4 linked regions of the Macaca mulatta genome follow. The protein of the gene in region 1 interacts with the protein of each later gene in a biochemical or structural test. Links are inferred from orthologs where the notes say so. Each region holds a gene or a part of one and is shown in the gene's direction. Other genes may lie near its edges.

What was found.
Region 2: the proteins of UBE2B (region 1) and UBR1 form a complex in vitro, tested with the Homo sapiens proteins (2 studies listed by BioGRID and IntAct, with this or other methods). The link is inferred for Macaca mulatta from reciprocal best matches to the Homo sapiens genes UBE2B and UBR1.
Region 3: of the proteins of UBE2B (region 1) and H2AC20, one has a biochemical effect on the other in vitro, tested with the Homo sapiens proteins (2 studies listed by BioGRID, with this or other methods). The link is inferred for Macaca mulatta from reciprocal best matches to the Homo sapiens genes UBE2B and H2AC20.
Region 4: the proteins of UBE2B (region 1) and RNF40 form a complex in vitro, tested with the Homo sapiens proteins (3 studies listed by BioGRID). The link is inferred for Macaca mulatta from reciprocal best matches to the Homo sapiens genes UBE2B and RNF40.

Annotation. Positions count from the first base shown.
Region 1 is NC_133411.1:143,287,755-143,296,447, forward strand, and holds the start of UBE2B (ubiquitin-conjugating enzyme E2 B), read left to right. Parts: upstream 1-3,772; 5' UTR 3,773-4,194; coding exon 4,195-4,238; intron 4,239-6,369; coding exon 6,370-6,450; intron 6,451-8,683; coding exon 8,684-8,693. UniProt on the Homo sapiens protein: E2 ubiquitin-conjugating enzyme that accepts ubiquitin from the ubiquitin-activating enzyme E1 and transfers it to a E3 ubiquitin-protein ligase. In vitro catalyzes 'Lys-11'-, as well as 'Lys-48'- and 'Lys-63'-linked polyubiquitination.
Region 2 is NC_133412.1:20,456,444-20,464,444, reverse strand, and holds part of UBR1 (E3 ubiquitin-protein ligase UBR1), read left to right. Parts: intron 1-4,762; coding exon 4,763-4,825; intron 4,826-5,051; coding exon 5,052-5,175; intron 5,176-5,680; coding exon 5,681-5,788; intron 5,789-6,496; coding exon 6,497-6,585; intron 6,586-8,001. UniProt on the Homo sapiens protein: E3 ubiquitin-protein ligase which is a component of the N-end rule pathway. Recognizes and binds proteins bearing specific N-terminal residues that are destabilizing according to the N-end rule, leading to their ubiquitination and subsequent degradation.
Region 3 is NC_133406.1:117,259,860-117,266,681, reverse strand, and holds H2AC20 (histone H2A type 2-C), read left to right. Parts: upstream 1-1,354; 5' UTR 1,355-1,411; coding exon 1,412-1,801; 3' UTR 1,802-1,821; downstream 1,822-6,822. Other genes in the region: H2BC21 (histone H2B type 2-E), read right to left, coding at 697-1,077; H2AC21 (histone H2A type 2-B), read right to left, coding at 1,962-2,354. UniProt on the Homo sapiens protein: Core component of nucleosome. Nucleosomes wrap and compact DNA into chromatin, limiting DNA accessibility to the cellular machineries which require DNA as a template.
Region 4 is NC_133425.1:29,387,010-29,395,010, forward strand, and holds part of RNF40 (E3 ubiquitin-protein ligase BRE1B), read left to right. Parts: intron 1-59; 5' UTR 60-130; coding exon 131-262; exon of another isoform or gene 263-572; intron 573-692; coding exon 693-860; intron 861-992; coding exon 993-1,134; intron 1,135-1,766; coding exon 1,767-1,973; intron 1,974-2,838; coding exon 2,839-2,960; intron 2,961-3,072; coding exon 3,073-3,219; intron 3,220-3,316; coding exon 3,317-3,391; intron 3,392-4,053; coding exon 4,054-4,173; intron 4,174-4,269; coding exon 4,270-4,449; intron 4,450-4,631; coding exon 4,632-4,767; intron 4,768-6,125; coding exon 6,126-6,247; intron 6,248-6,334; coding exon 6,335-6,762; intron 6,763-6,850; coding exon 6,851-6,968; intron 6,969-7,069; coding exon 7,070-7,219; intron 7,220-7,417; coding exon 7,418-7,630; intron 7,631-7,706; coding exon 7,707-7,832; intron 7,833-8,001.

The DNA of each region.
Region 1 (8,693 bases):
GGCGGGGAGTACAGGTCGCTGTCACAGCTGAGCCTCCTCACAACGTTGCTTTTGAATGGGGATAGGGAGGGTCTGCCTTTTTTTGTTGTTTGCTTTTTTGAGAGAATTGTGCAGTGGCGCCGATCTCGGCTCACTGCAACCTCCTTCTCCCGGGTTCAAGTGACTTTCCTGCCTCATCCTCCCGAGAAGCTGGGATTACAGGCGTGCGCCACCACGCCCGGCTTTGTATATTTAGTAGAGACCGGGTTTCTACTATGTTGGCCAGGCTGGTCTCGAATTCCTGACCTCAGGTGATCCGCCTGCCTCAGGCTTCCAAAGTGCTGGGATTACACGCTTAAGCCACCGCGCCCGGTCAAGATGGTTCTTAAAAACTTTTCTTGAACACCTGCCATACGCCTTTAAATTTTTTCCAACTGCTGTTTTTTAAAGGAAAAAAACTCCCTCACCACGTGTCAAACTCTAGGGAAGCAAGTAATTCGAAGGGTTCCACCATATACGAAATGATGTACAAGAGCGCAGAAATAAAGAGGCCAGTGTTTAACTGCTTAAGTAGACATAGAGTTCAGCTGGAGTGACAGTCCCTAATGAATAACCACCGTATCACTAGAGCAAGTGCCTAGGGAGTGCTTTCTTTATTGAATAGGGCTTTCTTTGCTTTTTTTCTATAAAATGAGTTAAATGTAAAAAGCGAAATCTCGCCATGCTTCCACTAAATAAGAGAAAAGGCAATACTTAATAAATTCTAGTCCGGTGGGTACCGCCCCAGCATGCATATTTAAATCACACTTGGAGAGCTTTTAGAAAGCAACTCCCAACTCCCACATCCACACCCCCGCCCCAACACCAGAGAGCCTGACTTAATTGAGATAGGGTAAATAAATTAGTATGTTTGAAGCTTCTCAAGTTTTCTATGCTGCTACGGTTTATATTGAGAGAAAGGAGAAGTGGTCATCGTTTTCACTGATCACCTAAAATATTCAGAATTGTCTTATTTGAAAGTTATTCAGCAGGATGCGGTGGCTCACGCCTGTAATTGAACACTGTGGGAGGCCGAGGCGGGCGGATCACGAGGTCAAGAGATGGAGACCATCCTGGCTAACACGGTGAAACCCTGTCTCTACTAAAAAATACAAAAAATTAGCCGGGCGCGGTTGTGGGCGCCAGTAGTCCCAGCTACTCAGGAGACTGAGGCAGGAGAATGGTGTGAATCCGGGAGGCGGAGCTTGCAGTGAGCCGAGATCGCCCCACTGCACTCCAGCCTGGGTGACAGTGAGACTCCGTCTCAAAAAAAAAAAAAAAAAAAAGAGAATGTTATTCAACCACAATATAAAACACCTTCTATAAATAAGAATGTCATAGTAAATCTTATAGTGGGTTCAAACTTCGTGTAAGCATATTATTTGCTGTGGGCAAAATATTTGCAAGGAGGCTGCGCACAGTGGCTCACACCTGTAATCCGAGGGAAGCCAAGGTGGGCAAATCACTTGAGCCCAGGAGTTCCAGACCAGCCTGAGCAACAGGGCAAAACCCCGTCTCTACAAAAAATTAGCCGGGTGTGGTGGTGCACACCTGTGCTCCTTGGGCAACTGAAGGAGAATTGCTTGAGCCTGGAAGGTCAAGGCTGCAGTGAGCCCTCTTCACACCACTGCACTCCAGCCTGGGTGACAGAGCAAGACTCTGTCTCAAAAAATAAAAAAACATTGCCCAGGACAAAGATGAACCAAACTCAGTCCCTGCCCTCAATGAACTCATAATCCAGAGCTACAGAATTGATAACAGCATACAATTAATAGCTTTAAAATTATTCCTTCTACAAGTAGGTTATGGCAGGCCTGGTTAACCAGAACAGCCAGTGATTCTTGCTAATACACAGCTGTAAGACTTTATGATGCACATGCACTGAATTAGTTAAAAGTGTTAATTCATTTTGGAAAATTTAAACTGTTTCCGAAACAATTATAAATCCCTGTAGTCACGGAATTCCTAAATTCCATTGCCTCCAGTTCCCATCTTTAGGACTTTGTTGGTGCGTCAGGAGGACTCAGCACTTTTGTATCCATTCTTCAGCTCAACAAGGAAAGGGAGGTAGGAGAAGGACCTCAGCATTGCCCTAATCTTGCCCATAGTTCCATGGAACCAGAAAGGGTTAACTTTTCCCACTTTCCTTGTACCTCCCTTTTTTCAAACCCTGAATTCTGTCTCTGCTTTCAGTGACTGCCTAGACTGATAAATTATAAGGGTTTTTTGGTTGTTGCAGGGTTTGAGACAGGGTCTCAGTGGCATGATGATGGCTTACTGCAGCTCAAACGATTCTTCTGCCTCAGCCTCCTGAGTTGCTGGGGCTACTCGTGTGCACAGAGACAGGATCTCCTATGTTGCCCAGGCTGGTCTTCAACTCCTGGCCTCCCAAAGTGTTAGGATTACAGGCATGAGCTAATGCCCCAGCTCATGAGGGATATTTTTAAGATATAGTTTCTATTTACCATTTTTCTCCATGTAACCCTGCCTGTGTGTCTTCCTCCTTTGCTATTGGAAGGGTTAGGACTGCAATGGCAGAAAAGCAAAAACATTAAGAATATTCAGCTTTTAACTTAGAAAACACATTGTGAATGTCTAACAGGACCTATCAAGAGTTAGGCCTGGCTAACTTGATCACTAAGGCAGTCACTGGAAGCTGAGAGAATTCAGGGTTTGAAGAAAGAGGTACAAGGAAAGTCGGAAAAGTTAACTCTGCTTCCATAGAACTAGGGGCAAGGTTGAGGCAATGCTAAGGTCCTCATTCCACCCTCCCTTTACCTGTTGAACCGAACAATTCCCCAAATGGATACAAAAGTACTCAGAGTCCTTAGTATAACAAAGTCCTGAAAGTAGGAATTAGCAGCAATACAGGGAAAGACAGTAACTACAAAAAATATTCAAGGTCTGTGGGAGGTCAACACCTCTGAACCCCCTGGTGGTGGGGGGGCACTTCTCGCCCATTTGCACCTTTCTTGCTAGTGTAAAAAACCTGAAGTTGTCTCAGGCTGGATAGATAACCCTCACTCAGGTCTGCTGGAGCTCTCCCCCACATATGAATCATATTTGTAGGTTTCTTTGACAACCAACCACTCATTGATATGCTTGGAAGACTGCACCCCCACATTCTTAAAAATACAATGGTACTCCCCCCCATAGGCAAGTCCCCGGACTCTGACACATATCTTCAATTGAAAGCAGACCCAGAAAGGAAAAACTGCATAATACACCATCCTTTAATGTTTGCCCAGAATTTCCAATACTAGAAACCCCACTGCAAAGCAGAAAGACTATTTGGTAGCTTCAAGGAACCATTTCAGGAGATTGTTGTGTGGCCCTCAGTATTCAATGCTGCCTTAGAAGATCTTGCGATCCTCTCTCTTCTTGCCCCAAGTACCAGAGTTCATAAGCCACTGAACCAACCAGAGGGGAGTTATTTTTGGTCCCGGTTTAAAGAAAACAAAACAAGCTGTTGATCCTCCCACGACCTCTTGGGTAATGTCTCTATACCTGTGATAAACCGAAAACAACTAATAAAGGTGTATCCAGCCCTCACCCTCTTAGACCCGCTTCACAGACCTGGCCGAAACTCACATCCAGGCGAGGCTCTCACGTGACCCGTTCTAAACGCGTCACAGGGACACGTGGTTCTAGATACTTCTCCCCCTCCCCCTCAGGGGTGGATTGTTGACAAGGCCGCGGGCAGTCACGTGATCTTACATCATCCCACCTCCTTTCCCTGAAATCCCTGGCCCGGATACGTCCTTCTTTCTCCACCCCGCCGAGCCTAAACTAGAGACGGGGAGGCAGACAGGATAGTGTGTCGGTTTCGTGGTCTCTGAATCCACAACCTCTAGTCTGAACACAGAGAACACAAATTTGTCGATCACTTCAGGAAGCCCAGGAAGAACCACGCCCCGCTGAAGGGCTCAGGGAACGCGCGCTCCCCCGTCCCGCCCCCTCCTCCCCCAGCACTCACTCTGTGGTAGCGGCGGAGGGCGGAGGGATCCGGAGGCGGCGGAGGGAGACGTCATTGCAGGGTTGTTTGTCAGTCTTGGCGGCGGCGGCGGCGGCGGCGGCGGCAGCGGCGATCCACAGTGATTCGGCCGCCGCGCCGGGGGGTGGGGGGGCTGCGCGGGACTCTTTTCTTTCAGACTGACCGCGGGGCAGCTGCGGAGCATGTCGACCCCGGCCCGAAGGAGGCTTATGCGGGATTTCAAGCGGTAAGGGCCTTCAGCTTCGCATAGATGACGGCCTCTCAAAGCTGCGGGGCTGCAGGGCGTGGATCCCGGACACCTTCCCCTTGTGACCCTCAGAGGGTCGGCTGTGGGCCCAGGGGGACTGGCGGAAGCCGGGTCCTACCTCGGCCCCTACTCTCCTTATCCTTGCCGCTCGCTCTGGCGCCCGAAGAAATTTCGATACTGCTTCCCCTCCCCCCAAAAAGTAAAACGATGTCGATCGACTGGTCTAGGGTTCCCCGCTGCCCATTTCGGCCAGCTGCCCGGGGTCTCGTCCAGGGGATCAGACGGGGATCAGACATCATCCTCCCGCCCCTGCACCCTGCGGAGACCCTTTCTTGTCCCCTCAAAGTGAGCTCCCGCGGGAGCTTGTTCTTCTCCGGCAGCACCAGTCAGCTTTGTTTCAAGGCCCCTCAGTCTTCTCCGAGGAGCCGGGTTGGGGTGAACCTCCCCAGCCCCCCACCCCCGCCAGTCCTTTCCATTTCTGCCGTGAGGGTGGGGTCCAGTGCGTGAGGCTCGGAGGTTAACCCATCCCCCGAAACCCGACTCTGTCCCCGCCCGCCTGAAAAGACCTTGGGAACTGACTTAGAGATCTGGGACCTTAGAGCTGGCCACCCCGGCTGCCAGTGCCTTCTGGAACTCAGATCTGGCTGGTGAAGAAAGCCCTATCTATAGCCTCCCGAGTCTGGAAAAATGCCTTCCCTTAGACTGGCGCTAATTTGATACTCCCTGGGCCTTCTTTGGTAAATAAAATAGGGTTTTGTTAGGAGGTATTGGGGTTGTGAGGAAGAAAATGATTATTCCGTTAGTTTACCTTTTATTGGATACTTAGAGACGTAGAAAAAACAAAATAACGTAGAAAAAACAAAATAAGTGAGAAAACATTTTGATATTCTGCACATTTTTCTTAAAATTTTTTCTGGGGACACCTACCCTAATTGAACAAAATAGCATAAAAACATAGATTTGTCGCTCAGGAAGTCACCTCTCAGCTATTATAAAGCCTATGTGAGGCATTTGGATTTGGCCAACTTATTTAATTCATTCGTAGCTTCTCTTAGCCATTTAAAGGTAGGCGTCAAGCAGTGCAGTTCTTCTAAGGCTTCTGTTTGTGGTGGCCTAATTTGCTTGAGATTGACTAAAAACCTTTTTTTTTATGTGGACTAGTTGCAAATTATGATGCCCCATGAAAACAACTCCATATGTATTTGTGAGTGTGTATAATGTAGCATTTTTAAATTGAGGTTACAGTCTCTGAAAGGAGATGCCCTTTTTGGTGCAAAAGTCATTTTTCTAAAGCTTGAAATCAGTGTATCTGATTAGCACTCATGACTAAAATTCAGATAGTAAACTAGTTCATGTCATTGTCGCCCTGGCTCCTTACTGTAATGCTCTGCTTAATTCTGAGTTGAATACATGGCACCTTTTGTAGTTTTCCAGAGATCTATAGGTTACAAGAATTTGACTATGACGAATGTGGGAAAGCCTTGTATTGAGTCTCCTGATTTGAGAGGTAGATTTGATGTTAGTGCAGAGCCTTTAAAATAGGGACTGGCGGAAAACCTACTGATTACTTTTTAAAGCCATTGCTGTTTGAAGCAAAAGGGATAGAGTAAATCTGCTGCCTAATACTAGTTTCCTAGTTAAATTTAATGTGTTTTCAGTCATTTCGTGTTTACACTGAGGTTTGCTTTTTTTTTTTTTTCTTGTAGCCATTTTGCAGAAGTAGCCGTGGTTAGGATACACAGTCTTTGCATGTTTAGAGCAGCAAAATCAATGGTTCTGTAAAAATATTACTTGCTTTTGAGGTTTTAAACTTTTTTTGGTATAAGAGGACAGTCTATATACATCAATTCTTGAAGAGATACTCTTGATAATATTGAAAGAGGGATGATTCTCAAGCCCTTCGGATTTTTAGGTAATTTGGAGAGGTATTTAATAAGTATATATACCTGGTTAATATATCTAAGTCATATGGTTCATTTTAGTTCACAATAACAAGGAAATGGAGTTAGTCTGTGTCTCAAAATAGATGGTGTAGTGTCTGTAGGTGTTTATGTGGCCTCCTTAGTGGCCTTAATGTTCAACTTTTTAAATTACAACGCTGGATTTCTAGGTTACAAGAGGACCCACCTGTGGGTGTCAGTGGCGCACCATCTGAAAACAACATCATGCAGTGGAATGCAGTTATATTTGGGTGAGTTGAAAGGTTTAACAAATAATAGGTGTGTGCTGAATCTTTAAGAAAAGTGAACATATAACAACTGTCTAGGAAAAGAAACTGAGGTAGAATGAGAGATCTTAAGGACTAAAACTGCAAGATAAATTAGAAAAAAATTTTTTTCAATTAGAGTTTTGGCCCAGCACAGTAGCTCAACGCCTGGGAGGATCGCTGGAGCCCAGGAGTTCATCACCAGCCTGGGCGATATAGTGAGACAGTGAGACTCTGTCCCCTCTCCACCAAAAAAAGAGTTTTGGCCCAGTCTGGGCAACATAGTGAGAGACCTTGTCTCTACAAAAAGTATAAAACTAACTGGGCATGGTGGTGCCCAGCTACTTGGAAGGCCGAGGCAGGAGGATCACTTGAGCCCAGAAGTTTGAGGCTGCAGTGTGCCACTGCACTCCAGCCTGGGCAGCCAGCTATCCAAAGAAAAAAAAAAAAAAGGGAAAAAGTTTCAGCAGTTATACAAAGTTTATTTGCTCTTTGATGTTATTACATATGGTTTTATAATCACTTGGGGTTTTACTTTTAAGATACTACTCAAAACTAAATGGAATGGAATAATAAGGAGAAACAATACATTACTTTGTATAAAACATATCATGCAAATGCTCTCATTCTGTTGGAGCTGTTAAAAGGTTTGGAACCAAAAATATTAAGAACTTCCACTGCTGCAAGAATTTAAGTGAAAATGATTCACAGCCCAGTGTAAAATAACAGAATGCAGCCATTTGAGAAGCAGCTGTAAATTTTACCTACTATATATATTGCATATATGCTTTTTAATTTAAAATTTCCTTATGCTTTTTTTTGTTTTTTCTAGACTTGATCTATTTTTTTCTTTCATTCCTTTGATACTAGAGTTTTGCATTAAAAAGTAAAAGGAATAGGTTGATAAACAGAATTCTGACACTACAGAATCAGCTACAAGAGTCTACATTTAAAGACTAGTGGAAAATGAGTGAAGTTCATCCTCATAAAGTACTTCTGAATCTGAGTTGAATACATGGCACCTTCAGGATATTATCCTGCTGCTTTGAGATCCTGAATATGCCTTGCAAGTAATAATTAAGCTTTATGCTGCTGCTTAGGAAAGATGAAATTGGGATGTGGGGGCAAGGATCTGAGCAAACAAATCTGGCTCTTTGGTGACATCAACTATGCTTAGCCTATTTGAACAAAAGTTGTGGCTCCATTGGAAAGCAGGACACTTGGGTTTAGCATCATAACTAGAGTATTGCTTTACTTCTTATTGCTGTAAAATGAAAAGATGACTTTCCCTCTTAAGAATATACATGTGGGCCAGGTGCAGTGGCTCATGCCTGTAATCCCAGCACTTTGGGAAGCTGCGACGGGTGGATCACCTGAGGTCAGGAGTTCAAAACCAGCCTGGCCAAGATGGTGAAACCCCATCTCTACTAAAAATACAAAAATTAGCTGGGCGTCTGTAATCCCACCTACTCGGGAGGTTGAGGCAGGAGAATTGCTTGAACCTAGGAGAAGGAGGTTGCAGTGAGCCAAGAATGTGCCATTGCACTCCAGCCTGGGGGACAAGAGCAAAATTCCATCTCAAAAAAAAAAAAAAAAAAGAATATACATATGTACAAAATGACTGGTCAGCATTAATGAAAGTTTTTAGGCCGGGCGCGGTGGCTCAAGCCTGTAATCCCAGCACTTTGGGAGGCCGAGACGGGCGGATCATGAGGTCAGGAGATCGAGACCATCCTGGCTAACCCAGTGAAACCCCGTCTCTACTAAAAAAGTACAAAAAACTAGCCGGGCGAGGTGGCGGGCGCCTGTAGTCCCAGCTACTCAGGAGGCTGAGGCAGGAGAATGGCGTAAACCCGGGAGGCAGAGCTTGCAGTGAGCTGAGATCCGGCCACTGCACTCCAGCCTGGGCGACAGAGCGAGACTCCGTCTCAAAAAAAAAAAAAAAAAAGTTTTTTTGTGCTAAAATTATGGGCAAGTTTTTTTGTTTGGTTTTGTAAAACCACCCTAAAAAGAAAGCTTAGAATGAAAGTTATACTTTATGCCTGGGTCTATGAAAATTCAGGGCTAAAGTGTTATTAAACTCTATCTTAAAACTCCACAAATCATCAGAATGAGTCCCTCTTTTTCTGTTGGAGTAAATTTATCCTTTCCCATTCTTGAAAATCAAGAAAAAGCAGAATGAGAAACTTCTTTTAATCAGAAATCTTCTTGTTTTCAGACCAGAAGGG
Region 2 (8,001 bases), on another chromosome or scaffold:
AACTTGTGCTTTTAGCACTTAGAAAGTTTGTTTCTCTGACTGCTTTGCTTGTTGGACAACTCTCATTCTTAGAAAACTTTTTTTCCTGTTTTCAGCCAAAATCTGTCTCCATGTGTTTTCCGACTAATTTCTTATAGAACAAACCAGAAAAGCTCTTTATTTTGCTTTCAGATGACAACCCATCGAATAGTTTTAAAAAACTGTTATGTTTGTTTTCTTCTGTTTTCTTCAGCTGTCCTATGATAATAACCTCATACTGATCAAACTCTATTTCCTTCTCTCAACCTCCTCCCCCGGGTAAATAATAGTTTATCAAAGATTTTCTTAAAATGTATAAAACAGTCTGTTTTACAAACCCTTAAAGATACACACTCTAAGTGAGTTCACTAAACATTTATTAAAGCTCTTTGAGGAAATACCAAGATGAATTAGATAGAATCTGCCTTCAAAGAATTATTCTCTACTGTTCTTATGAAAGAAACAGTCATTCAAAGGCCGGGCACGGTGGCCCACACCTGTAATCCCAGCAGTTTGGGAGGCTGAGCGGGCGGATCTCCTGAGGTCAGGAGTTCTTGACCAGCCTGACCAACATGGAGAAACCCTGTCTCTACTAGAAATACAAAATTAGCCAGGTGTGGTGGTGCATGCCTGTAATTCCAGCGACTGGGGAGACTGAGGCGGGAGAATCCCTTGAACCCAGGAGGTGGAGGTTGCAGTGAGCCGAGATCATTCCATTGCACTCCAGCCTGGGCAACAATGAACAGAATTCCATCTCAAAAAATATTAATAGTGGCCGGGCGCAGTGGCTCAAGCCTGTAATCCCAGCACTTTGGGAGGCCGAGACGGGCGGATCACGAGGTCAGGAGATCAAGACCATCCTGGGTAACACGGTGAAACCCCGTCTCTACTAAAAACTAGCCGGGCGAGGTAGCGGGTGCCTGTAGTCTCAGCTACTCGGGAGGCTGAGGCAGGAGAATGGCGTAAACTCGGGAGGCGGAGCTTGCAGTGAGCTGAGATCCGGCCACTGCACTCCAGCCTGGGTGGCAGAGCCAGACTCCGTCTCAAAAAAAAAAAAAAAAAAAAAAAATATTAATAAAAGAAAGAAACAGGCGTTCAAGAAAAAATTTAAAGATGTAATGGTGCTCTTTTTAAGTTCATATTTTTAAAAAAATAATTTTTTTTTTAAGAGACAGGGTCTCACTATGTTGCCCACACTTGTCTTGAACTCCTGGGCTCAGGTGATTTGCCCGCCTTGGCCTTCCAAAGTGCTGGGATTACAGGTGTGAGCCACTGCACCCGGCTCCTTGGTCACATTTTTGCCGTCTTATGTACAAGGTTAATATTGCAGATTATAAGAGAAAGTCTTGGTAGATAATAAGGTCTATTATTGTGGTAGGATTACTGTGAGCTGTCATGATCTTAGGACTCTGAAAAGATACATACCGGTAGGATAAACCGGTGTCCCAGGAGAATTGACTTGCGAAAGCGTGGGGCTGTGCTTTGTCGGTTTTCATATGGAATGGAAAGATCTGTGTCTCCCAGTGTTTGCCCTATCTCCTCCTAGCATTTCTTCCTGTTACTGCTCTCCTCTGCAGTCAAAGTGGAGAAGGCCTGTAGCTACAGCTAATCTATCTACTGATAGGTTGTCTTGTTTTGGGATCCCAAGGCTCCATAAGGTGATGGTGATTGCAAGAAAAGCTTTTTAATAAATGATTATTCAAAAAGTAAAATAGGACATGAGATAATGTTGTACATCCAATTAAGGTGAAAAATGTACTCTTTGGCTAGAAGAAACTGTGTTGCAGTTAGTCTGTTTTATAAATCCTTAAAGATACACACTTGTAGTTCTGTGCTTTCAGCTATAGTGTGAGGATAAAGGTAACCTATTAGAAATACTTGGAAAGAATTTTTTTTTTTTCGGAGTAGACATGCCAACCCAAGCCTAGGAAATCAGAATTGGGAGTGTGGGGAAGAGAATAGGAAAGAAATGCCTGTCTCTTTTGAAAACACTGCCTCCCTTCAGTTGATCTACTCCCACCTGTGTATTTTTTGATCATTAAGAAAGGTTATTTTTGTTGGATTCCTGCAGTCCCAGCTACTTAGGAGGCTGAGCCTGGGAGTTCAAGGCTGTAGTGAGCTTTGATCACACCACTGCCTTCCAGCCTGAACAACAGAGTGAGACCCCATCTCCAGTCAATCAGTAAAATTTTTAATGGTGGTAAAATCTACATAACATAAAATTTATCATTTTAATCTTTTTCTAGATGTACCATATACCAGTAATAACTATCTTGTCATGCAACAGATCTCTAGAACTTTTCTGTCTTGCAAAACTGAAACTTTATATCCATTGAACAATTCCCCCTTTTCCCCTCCCTCTATCCCCTGGCAACCACCAATTCTACTTTCTAAGAGCTTGACTATTTTAGATATCTCATACAAGTGAGATCATGCAGTATTTGTCTGTTTGTGACTGGTTTATTTCACTTAACATATATGTCCTCAAAGTTTATCCATATTTTATCAACTATATGACATGTATATGTATATGGTATATGTGGTGTGTGTGTATATATATGTATATATGTGTATACACATATATGTACAGTATTGTACTGTATACAGTATATATACACACACACACACCATATTTTGTTTGCCTGTTCATCTTGTCAGTGGACACTTGGGTTTCTTCCACCTTCTGCTATTGTGAATAATGCTCTTATGAACATGGATCCACAAAAGTCCATTCAAGTCTTTGCTTTCGGTTCTTTTGGGTACATGCCCACAAGTGGAATTGCTGGATCATATGGGAATTCTATTTCTAATTTCTTGAGGAACCACCATATTGTTTTCTGTAGTAGCTGCTCCATTTTGTGTATTCTCCAACAATACACAAGGGCTTCTCCACATCCTTGTCAATACTTTTTTCCCTAGGTTATTGGGGTACAGGTGGTATTTGGTTATATGAGCAAGTTCTTTAGTGGTGATTTGTGAGATTTTTGATGCACCCATCACCCCAGCAGTATACACTGCATCCTATTTGTAGTCTTTTGTCCCTCTTCCCCCACCCACCCTTCCCTCAAAGTACCCAAAGTCCATTGTATCATTCTTATGCCTTTGCGTCCTCATAGCTTAGCTGCCACGTATCAGTGAGAACATATAATGTCTGGTTTTCCATTCCTGATTTACTTCACTTAGAATAATAGTCTCCAGTCTCACCCAGGTTGCTGCAAATGCCATTAATTCATTCCTTTTTTATGGCTGAGTAGTATTCCATCCTCTGTGTGTGTGTGTGTGTGTGTGTGTGTGTGTATACGTGTGTGTATATATATACATATATGTGTGTTTGTGTGTGTATGTATGTGTATGTGTATATATGTGTGTATATATAGATATGTCACAGTTTATCCACTCTTTGATGGGCATTTGAGTTGGTGCCATGATTTTGCAATTGCGAATTGTAACTGCTAAAAATGTGTGTGCAAGTATCTTTTTCATATAATGACTTCTTTTCCTCTGGAAAGATGGTGGGACTGAGTATTTGGGGTGTCTCCCAGGTCCTGCAGGAGCAGTCCCCTGCTTCAGAAGGTCTGTGGGTCCTCTTTGGATTCCTGGTTTGTTCTTGCAGTCGTTCTGAAGCTAAAATTCATGATGTGAGCCTCTGTGTGCTCCTCCGTCCATCTGAGTCGGAGCTCCAATCTAGTCCTGCCTCCCATCCACCATGTCAGCAAACTCCCTTGTTATTTTTTGATAGCAGCCAAAAAATGTGGATATGAGGTGGTTTTCCTCCCCCCGTTTATTGAGATCCAGTGCTTTAGGTTAATTGCCAGCATCACATACATATAAGCTGATTGAGCTCAAGTTTATATAACTATTCTTGTCTTATGTGTTCTTTCAACAATCTCTTATGGCCTGGCTTTTTGTGCATTTTTTTCTTCTGTAATGGCAACCTTACTGGTGTAATTAGTAGTCCAAATATATTTGGATAGTTCTTATGCTTATGTACTAAGGAGCTAAAGAGGGAATATTACAAGATGGTTAGAAGTGCACACTCTGGAGATGAAATGCTTGTCATGGATCTCTGAATCTGTCACTTGCTAACTTTCTGATTTGGGGACAAATTAACTTCTGTCTTATTTTTCTTTTTATCATCTGTAAATGGGGTATACCTTCTTCATAGGGTCATTGTAAAGGTTAAATGAGGAAGACAGTGCTTCCTGACTTTTTTCACATGACACACGTAGAAAATGATAAATTTTTACAGGTGAATAAAAGAATACGCTACAAGGAAATCCTACATAGACCTTGCATGAGCGCCTCCAGGACTGGTGGAATCAGTAGTCCAGCTATACTTCCAGGTCGTTAATGGGCCACAAGTATATTATAGGATACGTGTTGAAGAACTGTGAATTCATTCTTGAAAAATATTTTAAACACACAGCAGAAGTTTAGAAAGCCTGAGTCATTGTTTCATACAAGTAGAGAGGACACTTCAGTAACTAAAGAACTACCATTCTTGCCAGGCAAGAAACTCAGCATCTTAAATTATAGAATGTCTCTCCTAGATATATTAAAGTTTTCAAGCTTCATAAAGGTGTTAAACATTTGCATCTGTCTTTCAGGTATTGTTTCAGTATCTTACAACGTTTAGTCGACACGTGATTAGTAATTAAGAGCTCATTAAGTCTTTGGGCTACATATTGCTTATTGATTGTGGTTATCATTTCATTACCTAATTGTCACTTTTGTCTATAATTAGGGTCGTCGGGCTGTTAAAGCGGGTGCTTATGCTGCTTGCCAGGAAGCAAAGGAAGATATAAAGGTAACTTTCTGAATTCAGGGGAAAAAGAGAAGTTAAAGACAAATGTACATTACAAGAGCCCAAGTAGAATAATTTGAGTGATGATGTTGTTGAAGTGGTTTGGGGCACCTACATGCAGAGATTTGGAACTGGCAGGGTTATGTGATTTCTTTTTTTAAAGTATAAATGCCTTAACTAAAAGCAAATTTTAAATGCTATTTTTTTGGTTTGTTCCCTTCATTTGTAGAGTCATTCAGAAAATGTCTCTCAACATCCACTTCATGTAGAAGTATTACACTCAGAGATTATGGCTCATCAGAAATTTGCTTTGCGTCTTGGTTCCTGGATGAACAAAATTATGAGCTATTCAAGTAAGCATACCTCCTGTTTTTCTTGTTTCTGATAAAATACTGTGTTTTTTATAGTCACAAATTTTAAAATGTCATCGAGTATGAAATACAGTTTTTCTTTTTTTTTTTTGGTTTATACACTTTGATTAATTTTCAGGGTTGCATTTCAAATGCATAATATCTTAAGATATTATTTCAAGTGCATAGTATCAAATAATACCTTTTTGTTGACTGTTGAGTCTTTGATGTTGACAGAATTATTCTTTACATCAAATGTGGGAGGATTAATGTTAGTCTTTTCACATGTTATAGGAAATGTATTTTTAGGATAAATATTATAAGAATAAAAATTATGGCTGAGTGCAGTGGCTTGTGTCAGTAATCCCAGCACTGTGAGAGGCTGAGGCGGGAGGATCACCTGAGCCCAGGAGTTCAAGACCAACCTGGGCAACAGAGTGAGATTCATCTCTATGTAAAAAGAAAAAGAATACAAGTTGTGTAATTGTGTGACCTCTTTTGTTTGTAGGTGACTTTAGGCAGATCTTTTGCCAAGCATGCCTTAGAGAAGAACCTGACTCAGAGAATCCCTGTCTCATAAGCAGGTTAATGCTTTGGGATGCAAAGCTTTATAAAGGTAAGTAGACATTTGCTTATGCTTTTTGTCAGGAAGCAAAGGAAGATTATGATCTTAAAGTGGAGCTGTAATATCTTTTGTTTATTAAATTAGTTATTAAATCTGTGATCTTGATTGATAAGGTATTACATGTGAATATCAAGTTTAACCAGTCAGTATGTATTCTTTGGTGTTAAAACGCAGGGATGTTATCTTTTAATTATAGAGTCTTTTCATTTAGTGAGAGCCAGTCAAAAAGAGTATATACATATATATATATATATACACACACACACACACACGTATCTATAAATTCAAGTAGTAATGCCATTGTTGAGTGGCAAAAAAAAAGCTCTTTTCATTGTAAAAATCTAAATGAAGAACAAAGTGTAAAAGTCAAGAGAAAGGCTAAAAGCATGGAGAAGGAAAAGTTCAGAGTAAGAGTACTTTTGAGTGAAATAGAAAAAGAATGAAAAGGTTGAGAGAGAATCAATTGAAGTGTAAGATGAAGTGGTGGGAGGGGTACAGAAAAAAAGGGAAAAGGCAATATATGTGTGTATTTTAAATTCTAGTTATTAAATATTAATACAATAAATACTGTTTATATTTGAGGTCTGTTTGCATGTGAAATAATTTTATAATATTCTGCCACTCTAATAGATGGAATGTTTTTGGTTTTTGCCTTGGTGATTCCCCTCATTCCCCCACCCTCCCCAAAATAATCTATAGGTGCCCGTAAGATCCTTCATGAATTGATCTTCAGCAGTTTTTTTATGGAGATGGAATACAAAAAACTCTTTGCTATGGAATTTGTGAAGGTAATTATTTATAAATTAGATATCAATAAATACAAATAGGCAGTTTTTATAAATGAATTAATAGAAACAGATAATTATGAATCCAAAATTAAATGTTATGATTCATTTCTTTATCAAAAGTTCATTCTTGGCCCTGAGGGTTGACTCACCCCTGTAATCCCAGCACTTTGGGAGGCGGAGGTGGGTGGATCATTTAAAGTCAGGAGCTCGAGACCAGCCTGGCCAACATGGTGAAACCCCATCTCTACTAAAAATACAGAAATTAGCTGGGCATGGTGGCGGGTGCCTGTAGCCCCAGCTACTCAGGAGGCTGAGGCAGGAAAATCGCTTGAACCCTGGAGATGGAGGTTGCCGTGAGGCAAGATTGCGCCACCACACCCTAGTCTGGGCAACAGAGTGAGACTCCTATCTCAAAAAAAAAAAAGTTCGTTCTCATACATTACATAAATATTTTCACAAGTGTCATTTGCTTGTATAGAAACAGCGCTCTTAGAGGAGAGATAGGTGGAAAATGACCTACTGACCCAGAGCAAAGGGAGATTATCACATTCACATATGCATTCAGTCTTCCTAGTCATTTATTTGCCTGTTTGTAAAATTACAGTAAGAATAGAAGTAACTAACTGATAAAGGATAGCAGGAAAGAAGAACAGATGTGTATGCTAAAGTGGGGTGCAGAAATTAGGTGGCCAAGGGTTCTACTTAATTGTTGGAAGCTAAAATGTGAGGCTAAAATTTACAGCTTTTTAATGTTTTATTAATCTATCATATATCTCTTACCTTACTGTGTCTTTTTGTCTATCAACCAAATTAGATTGCAAGGTTATACATATCAGGGACTCCTTTGAATCTTTTATTTTGCCTTATATAAAGGTATCCAGTGATACTTGTTGATTTCCTCTGATTTTGAGTTGCAGTCAATTCTGTAAGACTTAAGATAGATATAGGACCCAAGATGGAATTGGAAGCAGAGAAAGAAATAATGATTGTTGTAAGCAAATGACACTGTGGGATAAGATACCTGCATTCCCTGGATTTTATATGCAGACTTACAAGTAACTAAGACATTTGTTGTATGTCTTATCCTTCATCAGTGATGGCAACTTAAGATGTTCTCTTCTAAAACTCTTTAGATATAGAATATTGGACCATATGTGTGATCTGAAATGAAATTTTGTTTTCTTATACAAAAGCTAATCTCCCTACTTAGATGATTTTTTTTGTACACCATGGTTACCCCTTAAACTTTGTAGGAATTTTGGAGGGTAAAATATCCAACTTAAAATAGGTTAAGTATCCAACTTTGTGCCTTGCACATAATAGATGCCTGTTATGTGACTGAATGTATTACCATTTTTGTTCTCCCAGTTTATCAGAGTTGTTTTGCAGCTGTTATGTACCAGTATGGGAAAGAAG
Region 3 (6,822 bases), on another chromosome or scaffold:
AACAAAACGAGAAATAGGAATTTCAAAGTCTCAAAGTGAACGACGGAAACTGAAATCTACAAATTAGAAAGAGGCGCAGAATTTTGAATATTCATGTCGCCCAATCAGGAAAAGGCTGGGACCCGGCTGCGCGGGCTTCGTCCAAAATACACAGAACGGCTGGTATCCACAGGAGACCCCATCGCACAGCAGAACTGGTGACCGGACACAAAAGGTGCTGCCAAGCGTCAGTCATACACAGCTGTCACGCAGTGTTTGCGGAACCTGGGCTGAATCGTGCCCTGGAGTTCTCTTAAATAACAGCCGAACTCAGCCACTTCGTTTTAGAATGAAACAGACCCAAGAAGCCACCAGGGCGCCAGTATGGGGCGGGAGTGGGGGCGGGTAAAGAGGCGGATTCCCAACATCCTAATTGAGAACCGACTCCTGGGAATGCTAAGCAGCACAATGAGTGAAGACACGCTCTAGATTCAAAAGCAAATCCAATCATGCACCGGGGACCTCAAGTTCCAAATGGTTAAAAACCTACGTGTGGCATTTCCCATGACCTTTACGCTAAAATTACTTTATGAGAAGAAACTAAGGGAGTAAGTGAACAAGCTCTTTTCTAGTGATTAGGTGGGTGGCTCTGAAAAGAGCCTTTGGAGTCAAGCAGCCGGCGACTCGAGCGAGCGAGCGCCAGGTCCCGGCAGGGACTCACTTGGAGCTGGTGTACTTGGTGACTGCCTTGGTGCCCTCGGACACGGCGTGCTTGGCCAGCTCGCCGGGCAGCAGCAGGCGCACGGCCGTCTGGATCTCGCGGGACGTGATGGTGGAGCGCTTGTTGTAGTGCGCCAGGCGGGACGCCTCTCCCGCGATGCGCTCGAAAATGTCGTTGACGAAGGAGTTCATGATGCCCATGGCCTTGGACGAGATGCCGGTGTCGGGGTGGACCTGCTTCAGCACCTTGTACACGTAGATGGAGTAGCTCTCCTTGCGGCTGCGCTTGCGCTTCTTGCCGTCTTTCTTCTGGGCTTTGGTGACGGCTTTCTTGGAGCCCTTTTTAGGAGCCGGAGCGGATTTTGCCGGTTCAGGCATGGTAAGACACAGTACAAACGCGGCTTAGCCAAGAAAAGAAGTAAGAGAATGGGCGGGCCTGATTCTTTTATAACCACCTTATGCAAATTAGGGCTCCGAAAGTCATTCATTTCCATTGGTCCGTGTGCGGACCTTGCGTTTTCAGCAATGCGTACGCAACAACACCGACTCTTGACTTGATTGGCCGGTTCTGAAGCCATATTAGGACCAATGAAAAACTCGTTCTAGACCCCACCCCTAGGAAAGCTTATAAAGGCTTTCCTCTTGGTTCTCTTTCAAGCTTATTTTGTAGCGAGGTTCTGAGCATTGTCTGTGTTTAACCTTGGTTTCAGTCATGTCTGGTCGTGGCAAACAAGGAGGCAAGGCTCGCGCCAAGGCCAAGTCGCGCTCGTCCCGCGCTGGCCTCCAGTTCCCGGTAGGGCGAGTGCACCGCTTGCTGCGCAAAGGCAACTACGCGGAGCGGGTGGGGGCTGGCGCGCCAGTCTACATGGCGGCGGTCCTCGAGTACCTGACCGCCGAGATCCTGGAGCTGGCGGGCAACGCAGCTCGGGACAACAAGAAGACGCGCATCATCCCTCGTCACCTCCAGCTGGCCATCCGCAACGACGAGGAACTGAACAAGCTGCTGGGCAAAGTCACCATCGCCCAGGGCGGCGTTTTGCCTAACATCCAGGCCGTTCTGTTACCAAAGAAAACTGAAAGCCACAAAGCCAAAAGCAAATAAATGCAGACAAACAAACCAAAGACCAAAGGCTCTTTTTAGAGCCACCCAAGTTTTCAAAAAAAGAGCTAATGCGCTATTTCGTGATCAGCCCTTCATTTGACACTTTGGTGGCTCTTAAAAGAGCCTTTGGGGTGAATGAGTATGGTGTCAAGCCTCTTAATTACTTGTTCTTGCCAGGCTTGTGACTCTCCGTTTTCTTGGGCAACAGGACAGCCTGGATATTGGGTAAGACGCCGCCCTGGGCAATGGTGACACCCCCGAGTAACTTGTTGAGCTCTTCGTCATTCCTCACGGCTAGTTGCAGATGGCGAGGGATGATGCGCGTCTTCTTGTTGTCCCGAGCCGCGTTGCCTGCTAGCTCCAGAATTTCCGCGGTCAGGTACTCGAGGACCGCCGCCAGGTACACCGGGGCGCCTGCCCCCACCCGTTCCGCGTAGTTGCCCTTGCGCAGCAAGCGGTGCACTCGCCCCACCGGGAACTGGAGGCCAGCGCGGGACGAGCGCGACTTGGCCTTAGCGCGGGCCTTGCCTCCCTGCTTTCCGCGTCCTGACATTACGGCTAAAATTGCAGTTACAGCTTCTTTTACAAGGAGAAGAATGTGGAAAGAATAACCAATTTGATGTAATTTATAAGAGCTACCGGGAGGGGTGAAGGGAAGTCGTTTGATTGGCTAAAAGCGGAGCCGTATCCAACAGCCAATAGAAAAACAGAAAGCCGCCTCTTGGTTTGCATCCTGCCCTGAAAGGAAATGACGGATTTCGTAAGTATCTACCAATCGCTGAGAGCCACATTAAAGCCCCTTATTTGCATGGCAGGATCTTTAAAGAAAGTAGGCTTTCAAACAAAATGTCTTGTACTATGGGGTTTTGCTTTGCTTTGTTTAGTTTACAGCCGGTAAATCCCAACATGGACCCTAAGAAACTGCAGAAGACATCCGTAGACTGAGAGTTACTCTCACGCAAGAGTAGGGGATTCTGAAGCCAATGATCCCCTTGAGCTCTAAACTACTAAGTTCCGCCCTTTCTGTCTCGTCACAGCCAAATTCCCTTTAAAAATACAAGTACTACTAAGGCTGCCTCCTTTCTCGCCCCTCAACTTAAGTCGCCCGCAGCGACTCCGCCCCACCCCCACCCGCCTGCACTCCTTGGAATTCAGTTTGACCGAGGCTAGATCTGTCATCTTCTTGACCTCCAGGAGGCGGCCTTGAAGCTTACTCCCTTGGCTTTCAAAATGTCGCCCTGCGTTTTTCTTCTTAGCTCGCCGACTTTTCTTATCCTGCTTCCCCATGCCATCTCTAAATCTGCGAGTCCAGCTGGATTCTGCTTCTCTATCTCCAATTCTTCACTTATCCCGAAGAGTCTTACCCATTTATATGCTTTCAACTAACATCCAAATTTGTTTCAGAAGCTCAGACCCTTGTGCCTAACTGCTTACTGAATACTTCAACCTACTACTTGTCCCAACGAGCACCTCAAACTCAAACTCAACCTCAGCCTATTCGAACGCGAACTCCTGCAAACAACCTCCCCTCTTTGCCCTCTTCCTGAAATGCGCCAGCATACTTACAGATAACTAAGCCGAAATCTACTCTACTCTTCCCTTTGTCTCAGCATGTCCAGTCAGTTGCTTCCTTAATATCCCTTCAATCTTTTTCTCCACGCTCCCTTGTCCACCTCATCATCATCCCTTAGATTTCAGCAACAGCCGGGAAAGGGTAACTTTGCTGTCAGGCATTAATTGCTGGTGTGACTCCAGCGGCCTTAGAAATCTTTCCTGAAAGCTCTTCTTTTTTTCTTTTATCCCATATAACAGATGAACCTGAAAGCTCTTGTGTTTCTTCCTCCTCAACGTCCCATCTCTGGGAGTTCTACATCTCCTACACCATTCTCACCCTTTCCTTAGTATCCCTTAAGGTCAGGTAGAATAATAGAGAGAAAAAATAGACTTGTGGTTTTTTTGGTTTTTTGAGGCGGAGTTTCGCTCTGTCGCCCAGGCTGGAGCACTTCTCAGCTCACTGCCACCTCCACCACCACCTCCTCTACCCCGCCCCCACCCACCCGGGTTCAAGCGATCCTCCCACCTCAGCCTCCCAAGTAGCTGGGATTACAGACGCCCACCACCATGCCCGGCTAATTTTTGTATTTTTAGTAGAGATGGGGTTTCATCTCTACTAATGTTGACCAGGCTAATCTCGAACTCCTGATCTCAAATCTCGAATGTTGGCCAGGCTGGTCTCAAACTCCAACCTTATGATCTGCCCACCTCAACCTCCCAAAGTTCTGGGATTACAGGCGTGAGCCACTGCACCCGGCCAGAAAATACTTAAATCTTATTATTTGACACCTTTTCTGATGTTTCCTCCTTTATTCTCACCAGTTTATTCAACTGGCATTTATTGGATGTGTGCTGTTGGGCAATGGGTGTATAGATAATTGAAAGTAGTACAAACAAGTCTGTGATGAAATGCCTCCAGAAAATGGAGGAAATCTGGTGAACTCTGAGAGTTAAATTAGTTAAAATCAGCTACGTCTAGAGATTACTCCTGGTAAGAATGCTGGTATAGATTTGGGGAACACCAAAGTTCAGACAGAGGTGACCAGGGTGTAACCTAAGATCCTTCTAATCCAATTGATTATATCATTTGAGAAGATGAATGTTAACAGAAAGGTGCAGTCTACATAGAGTCCAAACAGGTGGCAATTGTAGTAGAAATATGTTTTCACCAACAATAAAATATATCTGGCAGAGGCAAAGTTTGGCCTACTAGAAAAGGGTCCTTGGTTATGAAAGCATCAGCCTTTTCTCACAGCCTGGGTGAAATATTTCTGAAGACTATCCAAGTTCCTTCATTCAGATTCTGTGCTCAATTAACAACTTTCTGATTGTTCTATTCCAAGATAAACACATAAGACTGAAGTAGGGGGAGCCAGTTATAGAAAGATGTTCATCATAGAATTCAATGAATTTGCATTTTGGACTATTCATAAATTTCGTGTAGTTTGTTAGCATGGGTCCCTCCCCAAGAAGCCAGTCAGTCCTGGAAGTTCTAATAGTGTCAACTTTTCAGACCTAAAGGGCAGAGAAAAAAACCCAGATGATAGGGGACCCTACCATAATCCTGGCACCCCATAAGGCCCTGCTTGAGGGGCATGCTGACCTTCCTTTCTTTCTCTGACCTCCTCTTTTTTTTTTTTTTTTTCCAGACAGAGTCTCACTCTGTCACCCAGGCTGGAGTGCAGTGGCAGAATCTCAGCTCACTGCAACCTCTGCTTCTTGTGTTTAAGTGATTCTCATGCCTCAGCCGACAAATAGCTGAGATTACAGGCATGCGCCAGCACATCCAGCTAATTTTTGTATTTTCAGTAGAAACAGGGTTTTGCCATGTTGTCCAGGCTGGCCTCGAACTCCCAAAGTGCTGGGATGACAGGTGTGAGCCACTGCGCCTGGACTTGACCTCTGATTTCTTTTTTACTTATATCACAGTGTTCTGTGCCATAAGAAGGGTGAAAGAAAAAAAAAGATTATGTTGAAACCCTACTATGATAAACCCTACAGTAGCAACTGCCTACAAAGTAGATAAAATTATGTGTTTCACAAATAAACTGAAGCTCACAGGGATTAAAACAATTGCTGGGCTGAGTGTGGTGGCTCACGCCTGTAATCCCAGCACTTTGGGAGACCAAGGCAGATGGCTTTTACCCAGGAGTTTGAGACCAGCCTGGGCAACATGGCGAAACCCTATCTCTACAAAAAATACAAAAATTAACTGAGTGTGGTGGGGCACACACCTGTGACCTGTGGTCTCAGCTACTTGGGAGGCTGAGGTTGGAGGATTACTTGAGCCCAGAAGGCACAGGTTGCAGTGAGCCGAAACAGCGCCACTGCACTCCAGCCTGGGCGACACAGCAAGACTCTATCTCAAAAAAAAAAAAAAAAAATTGCTGAAGGTCACACAGCCACATGATTAGAATCTAGGTCTGCCTGACTCAAAGAACATGCTCCTCACGATGTCTAGATGTTGGGCTTAATGAAGTCATTTAATTTATCCAGCCATTGTTTCTTCCTCTGTACAAAAAAAGGAAGAAAGAATTATTAGAGGAGAACTTCCCTACTCCCACACAAATATCCTTGCTGTGCCCACATCTCTTTGTTCATATCCTGGTGACAGCACTCACCATTCGGTACTGTGCTTTTTTTTTTTTTTTTTTTTTTGAGATGGAGTTTCGCTCTGTCGCCTAGACTGGAGTGCAATGGCACGATCTCCGCCCACTGCAGCCTCTGCCTCCCAGGTTCAAGAGATTCTCCTGCCTCAGTCTCCCAAGTAGCTGGGATTACAGGAATGTGCCACCATACCTGGCTAATTTTTGTATTTTTAGTAGAAGTGGGGTTTCACTGGATTTGCAAACTGCAAGGTCCTAACCAAAGTAAGTCCTATAGATGCCATCTTTGTAGCAGCTTTCTAATCAATTTACTTCTCTCTAGCCCATCTTGTGCCTTCACTCAGGTTATCTTTCACCCAGACTACCAACAAAGACTTTTCTGCTCCTCTCCCTGCTTCTACTCTTCCCACTCCTCACTAGAGTGGCCTTTCTAATAAACATTCTGATTCTTTTCTCACCATCTACTCTCTCCCCAGGTGATCACATACCACACCTCAGCCCCACCCTCATGATCTCATTTTATCTTCAACAACCCCTAAGAGATGTCTCAAACATACTTCTCAGATGCTAAAATTAGTGGGAAAAAAAATAATGGAGAAATAGGAAAGTAGATAGACTTAAAGTATCTTCCACAATTACAGACAGAAAAGGAATTTTATAGTGGAAAAGCCTGACAGATACCATCTTAATCAAATGATCAGAATTATCACTAGTAATAAGAAAAATAAAGATCACGTGCCCTGGTAAGTTTCACAGAGAAGAATTCAACATTACTTCTGCAGTATTCTGGCCAAAAAATGCATGTGCTAAATTTTAATCATAAAGAAACATCAGACAAACCCAGATTGAGGGACATTCTAC
Region 4 (8,001 bases), on another chromosome or scaffold:
GGTGTTTGGGGCTGTGGAACACCAGCCGTTCCCACATCTCTGCTCTCTGTCTTCTGCAGGTGACGGAAGTACCGCCTCCTCCCGTCTGACGCCCCTCAGGGGACCCTGCGCCGCTCCAGCCGCCGCGGCCATGTCTGGGCTAGGCAACAAACGCGCCGCCGGCGACGGGGGCTCAGGGCCCCCGGAGAAGAAGCTGAGTCGTGAGGAGAAGACCACCACCACTCTTATCGAGCCCATTCGTCTTGGAGGCATCTCTTCCACGGTTCTTGGGCTCTTGCCTTAACCCTCAGAATTTCCCAGAGCCCTCCCTCTGTTCCCTGGCCAAATTGTCCAGAATCTTACACCCACTTCCCCAAGTTTAGCAAGGTCCGCGTTACAGGATACTCTGTTGAAAGAAGCCGAGAACACGACGCCTGTCTTCCCTTTACAGATAGGAAAACAGGTTCCCAGGGGGCGTGTGACTTGTCAAAGACTAAGGAGTTAGAAGGGGACAGGCAGAAACAACGTGAGCCTCCTCACAACCAAGACACTTTCGCTGTGGGTTGTGTGAGCCTCCTTAGATTCTGTTAGCGGTTAGTGTGGGAATACCCCCATCTCCCATGCATTCCAGATGCTCTGCTCCTCTCTTTCTGTGTGATTGGTTTCTGGGCTCTGCTTGATATTCTCGTCGGCCCCTTTGTTTCCTTTGGTAGGAGGAGATGGACCTGAAGGTACTACAGTTCAAGAACAAAAAACTGGCAGAGCGGCTGGAACAACGGCAGGCTTGTGAAGATGAACTCCGAGAACGAATTGAGAAGTTGGAGAAGCGGCAGGCCACAGATGATGCCACACTCCTCATCGTCAATCGCTACTGGGCCCAGGTGGATGCCTTCTGCTTTCCAAGACCAGGCCTTGATTCAGCTGCCAATCCCCAGATTCCCCTGCTGGAAAAGGGGTATAATGTTGGAAAGCATTAAGGGATTCATAACATTTTTGATGCTTTCTCCTTCCAGCTGGATGAAACTGTGGAAGCCCTTCTCCGATGCCATGAGGGCCAGGGGGAGCTGTCTTCAGCGCCTGAAGCACCTGGGACCCAGGAGGGGCCCACATGTGATGGGACTCCTCTCCCAGAGCCGGGGACATCAGAGCTGAGGGGTGAGACCAGAGTTCTGGGATCTAGGGAGCTTCAGTTCTGGGAAAAGTCCTGGGGAGGAGGGGACTTTGGTGTTGGGCCTCTGAATTGCCTGCCTTACTACTCCCCACGAAATGGATTTCATGTTTGGGTGGTAAAGTGCAGTGCACAAAAATACAGGCTTTGGACTCTGACTAACTTGGTTTATAGAGCAATTCATGTTTCGACACCCATTTGTTTGAAAACAGTATTACGGTTGAGTGTTAACTATGTATTTGACGCTTTCTAGAAATGGGTACTTGCTCATTGCATTTGCTATGAGGGAGGAAATTACAAACATAGTAAGCAGAAAGTACTGGGGCTCTTGAAAGGGAATAATTGTGTGTGCACACGTGTGTGTGTGTGAGATTCTAATTTTTATTGGGAAAGTACAGGAGGCATCCCTGAGGATGTGATACGCAACTCTGTAGCTTTGAGGAAATTACTTTACCTCCCTGAACCTCATTTGTCTCACTTTCAGGATGGAGATAATAGTGCACTATAGGTTGTGTTGATTAAGTGAGCCATGAATATTGAAGGGCTCAGTCTGGAACTTAGTACAGAGTGGTGGTAACTGCTGCTATTATCCTCATGAGGGTCTGTCCATTCCTTCCAGAGCCCTTGCCATTGCAGCTGCGGCCCCCTCTCAGTGAGCCGGCCTTGGCTTTTGTGGTGGCACTGGGTGCCAGCAGCAGTGAGGAGGTGGAGCTGGAGCTGCAAGGCCGAATGGAGTTCTCTAAGGCAGCTGTGTCTCATGTGGTAGAGGCCTCAGACCGCCTACAGCGCCGGGTGGAGGAACTCTGTCAGCGAGTGTATAGCCGAGGTGGGTTCTTTGTGCCCATACCCAAGAGGTGTCCATCCCTACCTGCATCTTTTTTTTTTTTTTTTTTTTTTTTTTTTTTGAGACGGAGTCTCACGCTGTTGCCCAGGCTGGAGTGCAGTGGCGCGATCTCGGCTCACTGCAAGCTCCGCCTCCCGGGTTCCCGCCATTCTCCTGCCTCAGCCTCCTGAGTAGCTGGGACTACAAGCGCCCGCCACCGCGCCCGGCTAATTTTTTGTATTTTTAGTAGAGACGGGGTTTCACTGTGGTCTCGATCTCCTGACCTTGTGATCCGCCCGCCTCGGCCTCCCAAAGTGCTGGGATTACAGGCTTGAGCCACCGCGCCCGGCCTCCTACCTGCATCTTGATGGCACCCCTTTCCAATTCCCCTAATGCCCAAGTCCAAGGGCGGCCAGAATTCCCCAAGGAATATATCAGCCACGTTCTTGGGAGGGGTAGGTTAGTCTGTAGATGGGGGTTCCAACTTTGATTCCTGGACTGAATGCTAGAGAGATGGGTTGGAGGAGCTGTTGATGCTAGTAGAGCCTCCTGTCCAGAGGCCCCTCTGGAGCACTTTGTGTGGGTTGCAGATCCACAAGGCATAGCTTCAAGGGCTCAGGCCTTGTAGGTTGACAGGCTTCTCCCACTTCAGTTCTGCCACCCTCACCTGGACGTGCTGGGAAAGTGGCTCCCCTCTCTGAGCTGGTTTCCTCCTCTGTGCAGTGGAGATAAAGACTCCTAGCTTTGTCATGAGAAATTGGCAAGACAGCTGGGGGATCACACTGGGCACATAGCAGACTCCAGAATGAGTTAGTTCTTTGCCCCATTGCCCTGAGCTGGACTCTTAACCTGGGCCCTGCTTTCCCAGGGGACAGTGAGCCCCTCAGTGAGGTGGCTCGGGCACGCACCCGAGAGCTGGGCCGTGAGAACCGGCGACTGCAGGACTTGGCCACCCAGCTGCAGGAGAAACACCACCGCATCTCATTGGAGGTGAGGAGCCAGGGGCTTTGGGAGTGGGATTAGAATCAGGCAGGATTTGGGTTAGATGGGCCCTCAGGGACCAAGTCCCCCATCCAAGCATCTGCTCCCTCATTGTTCCCAGTACTCCGAGCTCCAGGATAAAGTGACGTCGGCAGAGACCAAGGTGTTGGAGATGGAGACAACAGTGGAGGACTTGCAGTGGGACATTGAGAAGCTGCGGAAGCGAGAGCAAAAGCTCAATAAGCACCTGGCAGAGGCCTTAGAGCAGGTGGGGCAGGGGTACTGGGGCAGGTGAGGCAAGGCTGGGCCCTTGGGCCCTAGCTCCTCCCCTCCACTTCCATTGCCTGTCTGTTTTCTCTCCACAGCTGAACTCTGGCTACTATGTGTCTGGGAGCTCCTCAGGCTTCCAGGGGGGCCAGATCACACTCAGCATGCAGAAGGTGAGCGGCGTCTTCCTCCCACCCCTTCTCACGACCTCTTCTGTGTTGCACTCTTGAAATTCCCCTCGAGATGAAGGACAAACGTCCATCTCCAAGGCCCTTCTTGGTCACTCCTGCTGCTCTTTCTTTCATGCATTCATATACTTTTTGAGTAGATTTTTGAACACTTAGTGCTAGGCACTAGGCATATTGGGGAGAACAAAATAGAGGTTAAAACTTTCATGGACCAGACAAGAAATAAATAAAAGAATATATCTTTAGGTTCTACTTGTTGTAACAAACAAGAAATTGGTAAAATAGCCTATCATTGTGTTATGAGTACCACAAAGATAAAGCACAGAAGAGAGAGAGAGGAGTGAGTTGGAGTCAGTTGGCATCTGGTGGTCACTGTGCCCTTTTTCCCTTTACTGGCACTTTAGGCCTTCCTGGAATGCTTCCGTGATTCCCCATCAGTTAAGAGCCTTAGTTCTCAACACCAACCATGCAGTATTGAATTTTCTCCCATTTGTCTGGGAGCCCTTAGGAAAGTACTTGGTTTGGGGCATCAGAATCGGTCATTGCCCTGCACGGAGTGCTTGGGCTGGAGTGTTTGCTGGGGATGTAAGGGAAGCCTGCTGCCACACCTGGCCCTGCCTCCCATGGCCCCGCCTCCCACTCCTTAGTTTGAGATGCTGAATGCAGAGTTGGAGGAAAACCAGGAATTGGCCAACAGCCGCATGGCAGAGCTGGAGAAACTGCAGGCTGAACTTCAGGGGGCTGTGCGGACCAATGAGCGCCTCAAGGTGGGCTGCCGTAGGAGCTGAGAAGGCCTATGCCTGTAAGGGAGGGACTGAGCCCTGAATCCTCTTGCTGATCCCATTTGGGCATCCCTGCCCCAGGTGGCCTTGCGGAGCCTTCCCGAGGAGGTAGTGCGGGAGACAGGGGAGTACCGCATGCTGCAGGCCCAGTTCTCACTGCTCTACAACGAGTCTCTGCAAGTGAAGACCCAGCTGGACGAGGCTCGGGGCCTGCTGCTGGCCACCAAAAACTCCCATCTGCGACATATAGAGCACATGGAGGTATGGCTCTGGAACAGGTGTGGGGACTGGGCTAAGGGCCAGACCCTTAGTGTTGAGGTGTTGGTGGCTTCAGAGGCCCTGTGTGCCAGCCAGGGGTCCCTGGGGAATAGATTTTTCGTAAGATACTGAATCCTGAGGTGGGACCGAGGGACTGTGTGGGTCCTTAACACGTCAATCCACAGAGCGACGAGCTGGGGCTGCAGAAGAAGCTGCGCACAGAGGTCATTCAGCTGGAGGACACGCTGGCCCAGGTACGCAAGGAGTACGAGATGCTGCGCATCGAGTTTGAGCAGAATCTGGCGGCCAACGAGCAGGCGGGTATGTGGTGAGGATAGGGCGGAGGTGGGGCCTTATCTGGGAGTGCTGGGCCCTGGTGTGGGGCCGCTGCTTATCCAGATGCAAGAGGCTAAGGCCTTTTTTTCTTCACAGAGCCTGGGCTTCCTATGCAAAACAGGGCCTGCACTGCTTGGCTCCCAGGCACAGTGAGGGTCACGCCAGCTGGGATGGCTGATGGAGCAGGCACATGCAGAGTTTGAGCTGTCAGCCCTGTCCACAGTCTTCTGGTCTGATGATGTCTCTCTCTCTCAGATACCTGTGTTCCAAAGATTTATCAGATGCCACCTATGAGCCAGGCTCTGTTCTAGGGTTTGGGGTTATGCCAGTGAACAAAACAGAATTCCTGCCATGTAGAGCAACATTCTGATAGAAGACAGACTAGAGAAAGACGAACTAGTAGAAGAAAAGTAGAAAATGTGTTAGTTCCTGACAAATACAGTAAGGAAAGTAAAGCAGAAAAGGATGATAGGAAGTATCAGGAGAAACGGTGTTGCAATTTTGGATAGGTGGCTAGGGAAATGCAACTGGGAAGGTGATGTTTAAGAATCTAAAAAAAGTTGGCCGGGCGCAGTGGCTCAGAGCGCCGTAATCCCAGCACTTTGGGAGGCTGAGGCGGGAGGATCATGAGGTCAGAAGATCGAGACCACCCTGGCTAACACAGTGAAACGCCGTCTCTACTAAAAATACAAAAAATTAGCCGGGTGTGCTGGCGGGCGCTAGTAGTCCCAGCTACTCGGGAGGCTGTGGCAGGAGAATGGCGTGAACCCAGAAGGCGGAGCTTGCAGTGAACGGAGATTGCGCCTCTGCACTCCAGTCTGGGTGACAGAGCGAGACTCCGTCCCCCCTCCCAAAAAAAACAAAAAACAAAAACAAAGAATCTAGAAAAAGTTGACTAACTTTTGTGAATGTTACAGTTACCTTCTCTATTAAAGGGAATTGGATGTATTAAAAAAAAAAAGAAAAAAGAAAAAACATAGGCCAGGCATGGTGATTCATGTCTGTAATCCCAGCACTTTGGGAGGCCAAGGTGGGAGGATCACTTGAGGCCAGGAATTTGAGACCACCCTGGGCAACAAAGTGAGACACTGTTTCTGTTTTAAAAAAACAAAAAACATGTTCTACATTAGCAAAAGTCATATGAATAGGCAGTGTCAAGTTACTTTTGGGTGAGTTTTCTTGAAGTCAGCATTATTTACTTTGGTGAGTTCATGCTCAGTTGAGGCCGCAGTGTTCCCCTCCTGCACAGTGGGAGTGATGGCATAGCCTCTTCCCACACTGAGGGGTTGGAGCCCTAACCCAGGAACTGGTTCTGACACCCTTAATTCCTGGTGCTTCTCCAGGGCCCATCAACCGTGAGATGCGCCACCTGATTAGTAGTCTTCAAAACCACAACCACCAGCTAAAAGGGGACGCCCAGCGATACAAGCGGAAGCTTCGAGAAGTACAAGCTGAGATTGGCAAGGTAAGAAGGGGCCTGCCTGGGAAAAGCTTTGGCTAGACTCCAATGAACAACATCTGACTTCATCCTTCTTCCTCTCTGCCTTTGCAGCTCCGGGCCCAGACCAGTGGCTCTACCCACTCCACCCCCAACCTGGGCCACCCAGAGGACTCTGGCCTCAGTGCCCCAGCCCCAGGGAAAGAGGAGGGTGGGCCAGGCCCTGTCAGTACCCCCGACAACAGAAAGGAAATGGCTCCAGTGCCTGGCACCACCACTACTACCACTTCAGTGAAGAAGGAGGAGCTGGTCCCCTCTGAAGAGGATGTCCAGGGCTTAACCCTTGGGGCCCAGGGCCCTTCCTCCCGGGGCCGAGAACCCGAGGCCAGGCCCAAGCGGGAGCTTCGGGAACGAGAAGGTCCTGGCTTGGGTCCTCCACCTGTAGCCTCCGCTCTCTCAAGGGCCGATCGGGAGAAGGCCAAGGTGGAAGAAGCCAAGAGGAAGGAATCAGAACTCCTCAAGGGTCTCCGAGCAGAGCTCAAGTGAGACTGTATTCCTGTCTCCTTCCTGACCCTGCCAGGTGGCCTCCAGTCCCACTCACCAAGACTTCCTCCTGTACCTCCTTGCCAGGAAGGCCCAGGAGAGCCAGAAGGAGATGAAACTGCTGCTGGATATGTACAAGTCAGCACCTAAGGAACAGCGGGATAAGGTGCAGCTCATGGCAGCAGAACGCAAGGCCAAGGCCGAGGTGAGGGCAGCTGGGGCTTGTGGGACATGCAGAAAGGCAGAACAGAGTCCTAGGTCAGCAGGAAGCAGTGTCAAGAGAGTTCCTTTTTCCCTGTGCTGTAGGTTGATGAGCTGCGGAGCCGCATCCGGGAATTGGAGGAGAGGGATCGAAGGGAGAGCAAGAAGATCGCGGATGAGGATGCCCTGCGGCGCATTCGGCAGGCAGAGGAGCAGATAGAACACCTGCAGCGCAAGCTGGGTGCCACCAAGCAGGTGCGGCCCCTGTGTTGCCCTCGCCTCCGAATGCAGAGAGATCCCTTCAAACCCTGTTGGGTGCCTGTAGTGCCTGCAGCACCTTGATGATCTGGGTCCCCTCTGTGGTTCTTTGCTTTGCTGCGTTTTCCCATGGTTCCCCCATAGCCATCCTGTCCACTTCCCATGTTCCATCTTGTCTCCTCCCACTTGCTGCAGGAGGAGGAGGCTCTGCTCTCAGAGATGGATGTGACAGGTCAGGCTTTTGAGGACATGCAGGAACAGAATGGGCGGCTGCTACAGCAGTTGCGGGAAAAGGACGATGCCAACTTTAAGCTGATGTCAGAGCGGATCAAGGCCAATCAGATTCACAAGCTGCTGCGGGAGGAGAAGGATGAGTTGGGCGAGCAGGTCCTTGGCCTCAAGTCCCAGGTATGGCCGCCCCCAGCTTATAGGGTGGAGCTGGAGAGGCGGGGGTCATGCCCCTGAGTCCTCCTCTGGTCCTTAGGTGGATGCCCAGCTGCTGACTGTGCAGAAGCTGGAGGAGAAGGAGCGGGCCTTGCAGGGCAGCCTTGGGGGTGTGGAGAAGGAGCTGACGCTGCGCAGCCAAGCCCTGGAGCTCAACAAGCGGAAGGTGAGGCTGGGCCAGGGGGACACACAACTTGGGCTGCTGGCTCACCTCCTCACCTTCCGGTTCTGCTCAGAGCACCCAACGCGATAGCCTAAGATGAAGCCAGGCTGTCACAGAACAGCTCACACATCCTGAACATTTACATGCGCCAGGCCACATGCTGAGTGCTTGA